2 linked regions of the Ovis aries genome follow. The protein of the gene in region 1 purifies or fractionates together with the protein of each later gene. This does not show direct contact. Links are inferred from orthologs where the notes say so. Each region holds a gene or a part of one and is shown on either strand. Other genes may lie near its edges.

Evidence for each region. The genes of interacting proteins can lie anywhere in the genome.
Region 2: the proteins of OBSL1 (region 1) and CAMKK2 purify together in Homo sapiens (affinity purification with mass spectrometry; 4 studies listed by BioGRID and IntAct, with this or other methods). This does not show direct contact. The link is inferred for Ovis aries from reciprocal best matches to the Homo sapiens genes OBSL1 and CAMKK2.

Annotation. Positions count from the first base shown.
Region 1 is NC_056055.1:221,476,938-221,480,437, forward strand, and holds part of OBSL1 (obscurin-like protein 1), read right to left. Parts: intron 3,225-3,500; coding exon 2,952-3,224; intron 2,180-2,951; coding exon 1,904-2,179; intron 1,824-1,903; coding exon 1,536-1,823; intron 1,344-1,535; coding exon 1,068-1,343; intron 464-1,067; coding exon 194-463; intron 51-193; coding exon 1-50. UniProt on the Homo sapiens protein: Core component of the 3M complex, a complex required to regulate microtubule dynamics and genome integrity. It is unclear how the 3M complex regulates microtubules, it could act by controlling the level of a microtubule stabilizer.
Region 2 is NC_056070.1:53,942,889-53,946,388, forward strand, and holds part of CAMKK2 (calcium/calmodulin-dependent protein kinase kinase 2), read left to right. Parts: intron 1-115; coding exon 116-169; intron 170-2,957; coding exon 2,958-3,031; intron 3,032-3,117; coding exon 3,118-3,205; intron 3,206-3,500. UniProt on the Homo sapiens protein: Calcium/calmodulin-dependent protein kinase belonging to a proposed calcium-triggered signaling cascade involved in a number of cellular processes. Isoform 1, isoform 2 and isoform 3 phosphorylate CAMK1 and CAMK4. Isoform 3 phosphorylates CAMK1D.

The DNA.
Region 1 (3,500 bases):
TTCCTCCGCTCGCACATCCTGCAGCCGCCGCAAGAACAGCAGCTCCGTTTCTGGGCAGGAAGAGAGAGCGGACCATGGAGCCTGGTGGGCCGAACCCCAGCTCCCTCTTCTCAGGGACTGGTCTCCTGCCAGGGCCAGGGCTGGGAGAACAGGTTCAGGAACAGGACTTGTTTCGTCTCCATCAGGACCGAACCTCGAACGTGCAGCCGGGCACTCGTGGACGTGCCCCCGGCTCGGGCAGTCACGGTCCCTGCATCCTCAAGCCGGCAGCTTCGCACGGTCAACGTGCGGCTTGACCCATTCTGGGTCGTCTCTAGCTGGGGCCCTGGAGTGATAACGACCCCATTGCGCAGCCAAGTGATGTCGGCGTCTGGTGGGGAAACTTCACATCGGAACGTGGCATCATCCCCCTCGTGGACAGTGAGAGGCGTCAGCTCCGAGACCAGCTTCACCAGTGGGGGTTCTGGGGGCGGAGGGCAGGATCAGACAGTGAGGGGGGCTGGGTCTTTCCACCGTTGCCCTCCTCAGCCCCTCCTCATCCCCAGAAACAGGCCTTCATCCCCCAGTTATTAAACAGAATCTTCCCGAGGACCAGCTGTGTGTCAGTCATGAGCTGTTTTGAAGGACAAGATGTCAACTCCCTGCCTGTCACTCCTCACCACCTCATCTCCATGCTGGCTGGGCACCCACCTCTCTGACTCCCTAATAAAGATAGATCATTTAGGACAGACCCTGTCAATCTCATTTAACTGTCACAACAGCCCTATAGGACAAACGCTATCCTCCTCCTTGGGACCCGGGGCTCAGACAGTTTAAGCAACTTGCCAGTGTGTCACACAACTACTGGGAAGGAGATTCGAGACTGGAACCTGGAGGGTAGACTCCAGAGCCCTCTGCCCCTCCTTTTTGAGGATTCCTGGAAAGGGGAGCCCTGAGCCCTCATCCATGTGATAGCTGTGCATGCATTGGTGGGCAGAGAGGTGGGTGGGGGTGAATGGTGGGGGGGGGCATGAGGCCCTTGGTGGGGGGGGGCCGGGGCCCCAGGGGAGTGAGGACGACACTGTTACCTTCCACGCTGACGAGGAAGATGCGGCTGTCCTGGGGCGTGTCGCACAGGTACTCCCCAGCGTCCCTGCTCCGTGCCCCCCGCACCCGCAGCACCTGCCTTGCCCCGTCCTGTTCCAGCTGCACCCGCCCCTGGCTGGCCAGGCGCTCCCCGTCTTTGTACCAGCGCACAGGGCCCCCTGGCCCGGAGAGGCGCACCGCCAGCTCTAGGTCCCCGCCTGGGGTGCTGCGAACCCTCGTCTGGGCTGCCTCGGGGGCCACCACCCGCACGGGGGGCTCTGTGGGGTCAGGGCTGGGGGTCATTGGGAGGGAATGGGTCAAGGGCTGGGGAGGAGGGTGGTGGGAGGCCAGATGGGGAGAGGGACTGAGAGCCGTGGGGCAGGGGCTGGGGGCTGGGTGCACTAGAGAGGGGGAAGACTCAAGGGTTTAGGGGCGAGACTCTCAGGTTTCCTGCCCGGGGCTATACTCACCAGCCACTTGGACGGTGAAGCTGAGGCTGGGGGCCCCCGGTGCTGCCCCACACTGGCAGGTGTAGAGGCCCGCGTGAGCCAGGTCTGCAGCCCGGATGCAGAGGACGCGGCGGGGTCCTTCGGCTCGGAGCTCCAGGCCCTCGCCTGTCTGCACCGGCTTCCCATTATGGCTCCAGAAGACCAGGGCACCAGCCCTGGACAGTTCACAGCTCAGCACCACCGGCTCCCCGGGAGCCACGCAGAGCGGGCCAGGGGCTGCCTCTGGGGCAAGGAACTGGACAGGGGGCTCTGGACAGAGAGTGGGTGTGTCAGCTCAGTGATGCCCCCTGCTCCCGCCTCCCAGACCCGGGCTGGCCAGGATCACCCACCAGCCAGGCTGACGTTGAAGGTGACGGCTTCATCGCGAGTCTCACACACATACTCCCCGGCATCCTCGGGCTGGGCATGGGGCAGGGTCAGGGTGCGGGTGGGCCCCTCAGCACCCAGCTGCAGGGCTTCTGATGCTTCCACCTCCAGCCCATCCTTGTACCAGCGCACCTGGGACCCAGCCGGGGCCACCTCGCAACGCAGCTCCACGCGCCCCGGAGCCCTGAACTGCAGGTCCAGGGAGCGGGCTGCTGGGTGCACAATCCTCTCTGGAGGAGCTGGTGGGCGAACAGAGAGAGAAGTGGGTGGGCTCGGCTTCTACCTGACTGACCACTGGCTTCTCAGTCCTCTCCCTTTGCAGAGCAGCTCTTGGGAAATGGTACCACCTACAATCGTGGGCACTTACTGTGTGCCAGGTGTCATGCTGAGGACACTACAGTTCTTTTCTCAGCTACTCCTGACACTCCCTATTGCTGCCTTCACTTTATAGATGAGGACCTGAAGCCTCTTTATAGGGAACTGACTTGCCCAGGGTTGCACAGACGGAAAGAGCTAGACCCACACTCACAGATCTATCTAACCCCAATGCACAGCCCTCCCTACCCCTCCATTTCCTGTCCCTTTTCCCTGCTTTGCCTCTGAAGAACCGATCACCACCTGAAAAACCACCTGTTTCCCTTATTTGCTGTCTGTCTGCTCTCACAAGAAGGTAAAGACAGGTTTTCTCTCCTTCATTCATTACCGAATCCCTCAGCATCAGAACATGCTGAGCAGATCAGTGTTTGTTGAATACACAAATGAATGAGCACTCCCGATTGCTGGGCTCTCTTCACCAGGCCTCTGGCCACTGTCCCAACCTGGTTTGGGCAACCCAGGGCTCTCTCTGATGGCTGAGAATGAGGAGGCTGGGAGAGGAGGGAAGGCTGGACAGGGGGAAAGTTGTGTGTGGCACGTGGGGGCCCTGACGGTGCAGGAAGTGGGAGGGGTGGGTGTCTGTCCCTCAGCCTCCTGCCTCTCTTCCTCCCTGGGGGGGTCTCGGAGACTGCCCACCTGTGACGGTGACAGTGAAGAAGGCTGAGTCGTCTCCAGCGTCGCATACGAACTCGCCCCCGTCCTGGGGCTGGGCGGCGGGCAGCACCAGGCGACGGCGGGGCCCGTCGCTCTCCAGCACCAGGGCCTCGCTTTCCTCCACCTCCAGCCCATCCTTGTACCAGCGCACCGGGGCATCCTCCCGAGACAGCTCGCACATCAGCACCACACACTCCAAGCTCACGGCCACCAAGGTCACCTCGTCCCGGGGGTATAGGATGCGCACTGGGGGTTCTGCAGAGTAGGGACAACCACAGGCTGTCAGACTCACTGTCAGCCTCTCTGGAGCTGTCCGGCAGCATGAAATCCTGGTTCCCCAAATTGTTAAGAGTGATAAGGATAGTAATAGGTCCAAAATCTGTTCTCTGAAATCCCTGGGGCCACAGGTGTTACAGAATCCAGAAATGCTTCCAATTCTAGAAATGGTACATTTATCATATAGCATATACTCCTCCTCAGCCCCTACTGTGGAACCCCCCATAATCAATCACATTAACGTCTCTGCAGTGT
Region 2 (3,500 bases), on another chromosome or scaffold:
AAAAAGAGCTGCTTCCCCAAAGGAAAGCTGGAGGATTGGATCCTGGATAGGTGAAAGAAGGTTATGCCCTTTACTGCCCCTTGCCCCCTCACACTGAGCTCTCTTTTTCTGGCAGGCGCTGGATGTTTGGGCCATGGGTGTGACACTGTACTGCTTTGTGTTTGGCCAGGTAAGGTGGGGTGTCCTGTGTCCTGGCTGTTGTGGGTGGCTCCCTTGGACTAATAGTTACCCTTGCAGGGAGATAGAACTTACTCATTTAAAAGTTATTTCATTTTATTTCCACAGTTAGATCTGCATATGGAAAAGTATGCCTTCCCAAATATACATAGCTGTACATAACAGTCATATCTGTGAAGACAACCTGCTAAAACAGGGTTTTGGTAGAGGCTCTAGAAATTGTAAATACAGTTGATGAATTTAGGTCAAGGACAGCAAATGTGCACCTCTTTCCACTTCTAAACAGGAGATAGGCATCACTAATCAATAACTGCAATCTTTCTTTCTGAGCCTGGTACTGCTTTGATGTTCTTCTCAACAGTGTTCCTGGAAGCTGTTGTTGGAAGAATAGAATTGGAATGGAATTTAAAACATTTGGCATTATTGATTTAGGGAGTGCTGTTTGTCTTCATTTTGTTGCTCTTTTATTATTTTTATATTACTCGTATTTAGGGGCTTCTATTTTTAATTCTAAAGTTCAGACTGATTATGTGAGCAGTAAAGATGAGAATTATTCCTTCTCCTGAGCTTATGCTCCTGTTGAGAAAAGCTTAAGAAACTGATCCCGTGAAGAAGTAAAGTTTATAATCTCCTCCCCACAACCCAACGTTTGATTAGAAAATTTTCAATCCTGTAGTCAAGTTGTAAGAATTATACCTTCTTACATATGCTTCAGAGTGCAGTCATTAGCCAGAGCTCACTATCTGTGGCTTTCATCTTTTGGGCTAAAATGTACACATCAGGGAATCTACAGATGTTAAAAGTGTACTCTGATGAGTTGTCACATGGATGCACCTGTGCAACCCTGACATCTCAAGTTATTGTTTCTCATGGCATCATTTTCCTTGGACAGGAGTAGACAAGGTCACTTTCTGTGACCTTTTGCAGCCTTTTGAGCACCCCGCTTAAAGGTTTCTTTTTCCAAAACAATCCCTGAGCTCCTCCTGGGTCAGGCCCTTCCTCCTGTGAGAAGATCGCCTTGTCACCCAGGAGGTGGTGTGTGAACAGGCTTCAGGGTAGAGTCTAGGCTTAAATCCCAGTTTCATGCTTCCTAGGACATAGCACCTCTCGGAGCTTCTGTTTTCTCTCTCCTGTAAAATGAGAATAATATTTACTGTTTTTAAAAGTATTTATTTATTTACTCATTTTTGGCTGCGCGGGGTCTTCGTTGCTGTGCGCAGGTTTTCTCTAGTTGCGGTGAGTGGGAGCTTCTCTCCAGCTGTGTCACGTGGGCTCCGTAGTTGCAGTACGCCTTCTCTAGAGTGCAGGCTCAGTAGTTGGGACTCACAGGTTTAGTTCCCCTGTGGCATGTGGGATCTTCTTGGACCAGGTATGGAACCTGGGTCTGCTGCATTAGCAGGCAGATTCTTAACCACTGGACCACCACGGAAGTCCAGTATTTACTATTTTTTATGGCTTCTGAGAGGATCAGCAGAAATAATTCAAGCATTCATTAATTCAACAGATATTTATTGAGCCCCTACTTTGTGCCAGGAATGTTCTTGGGCACTGGGTGTCAGCAGTGAGCAAGACAGACAAAAATCCATGCCCTCTTGGAGCTGACATTCCCGTGCAGGAATTAAACAGTGAATAAATCCATATGGTTTTATGTTTTGGCCATACCATGTGGCATGTGGGATCTTAGTTCCCCAATCAGGGATTGAACCTTTGTCCCTAGCAGTGGGAACACAGAATCCTAACCACTGACCACCAGGGAAATCTCCCCAATGTATATGGAATAATGTCAGGAGGGCACATGCAATGGTGAGAAATCATATGGAGGTGGAGTGGGTGTCCATTTTAGACAGGAGCTCTGGAAGACCTCCCTGAGAGGTTGAGCTTTGATCAGACACCTAAATGATGGAAGAAAACAAGCCATGCACATACTGGTGTGAAGAACATTCCAGGCAGAAAGTGAAAGTGAAGTCGCTCAGTCGTGTCCGACTCTTTGCGACCCCATGTACTGTAGCCACCAGGCTCCTCAGTCTATGGGATTCTCCAGGCAATTGCCATTTCCTTTTCCAGGGGATCTTCCCCACCCAGGGATCGAGCCCAGGTCTCCTGCAATGCAGGCAGATGCTTTAACCTCTGAGCCACCAGGGAAGCCCATTCTAGGCAGAGGTTAACAGCCAAATGAGATGTTGGTCCTGAGAAACCTCAGTACAATGCCTGGCCCAGGCTGAGCCCTCACCAATCACAGCTACTGCTGCTTTGTCTTTTGTGTTGTTCTTTGTATTATTAATGTTCACAGGGCAGGTGGGTGAAGTGAGTGTTTGCTTTCGGTCTTTGCTTTATGGTCTTCCCTGATGACTCATGGTAAAGAATCTGCCTGCAATGGGAGAGCCCCAGGTGCAGTTCCTAGGTCAGGAAGATCCTCTGAAGAAGGGAATGGCTACCCACTCCAGTATTCTTGCCTGGAGAATTCCATGGACACAGGAGCCTGGCGGGTTATGGTCCATGGGGTCGCAAAGAGTCAGACACGACTGAGCGACTAACATTTTATGTAGGTAAATTAACGCACAGCTATAGAGGAAAGCCAGTGTAGTTAGGAAGGCTCTAACCCTTCTGGAAAGATACTCCTGGTCCTTTCAGATCTCCGGGGAATGGGAACTGCTTCCTCCCTGGGCTGGGCTGCCTGGCTGTTTCTTTCTCTGCTGTGACCCATGTGGAGTGCCGTCCACCCTTGAAGGACAGCTGTGCCAGCCCTTGATGGCTGCTCTGTCCCTGACCTCTCTTTGCAGTGCCCGTTCATGGACGAGCGGATCATGTGTTTACACAGTAAGATCAAGAGTCAGGCCCTGGAATTTCCAGATCAGTGAGTATCCTTCGTGTACCGCAAGTTGCTACCTTCTCCGAGCCCTTGGTGACGTCTCCCACCCTTGATGTATCTCCTCCCGCCAGGCCTGACATAGCCAAGGATTTGAAGGACCTGATCACGCGCATGTTGGACAAGAACCCCGAGTCGAGGATTGTGGTGCCAGAGATCAAGGTATCTGCTGCCCCTTGGGGTATGTGCCAGGGGCTCAGCCTATCTCCTCGGCTTGGGATTTTTGGCTCAACCCTGCCTCAGTCAGGCCCCACATTCCTCTGTTTACAGCACCACACCCTCTTCTGCACCACCGCCCTCCCATGCCCTGTGGCCTCTGGGATGCTGGAAGCTGGTGGGGGAGGATTTGGGACTTGTGTTAACTGTGATTATGGAAGTGGGATCTGCTACCAGCCAGGCAACTAGCACTCGCTCCACTTGGCGTGAACTGATGGCCTCCACCTCCCCAGACCAGACC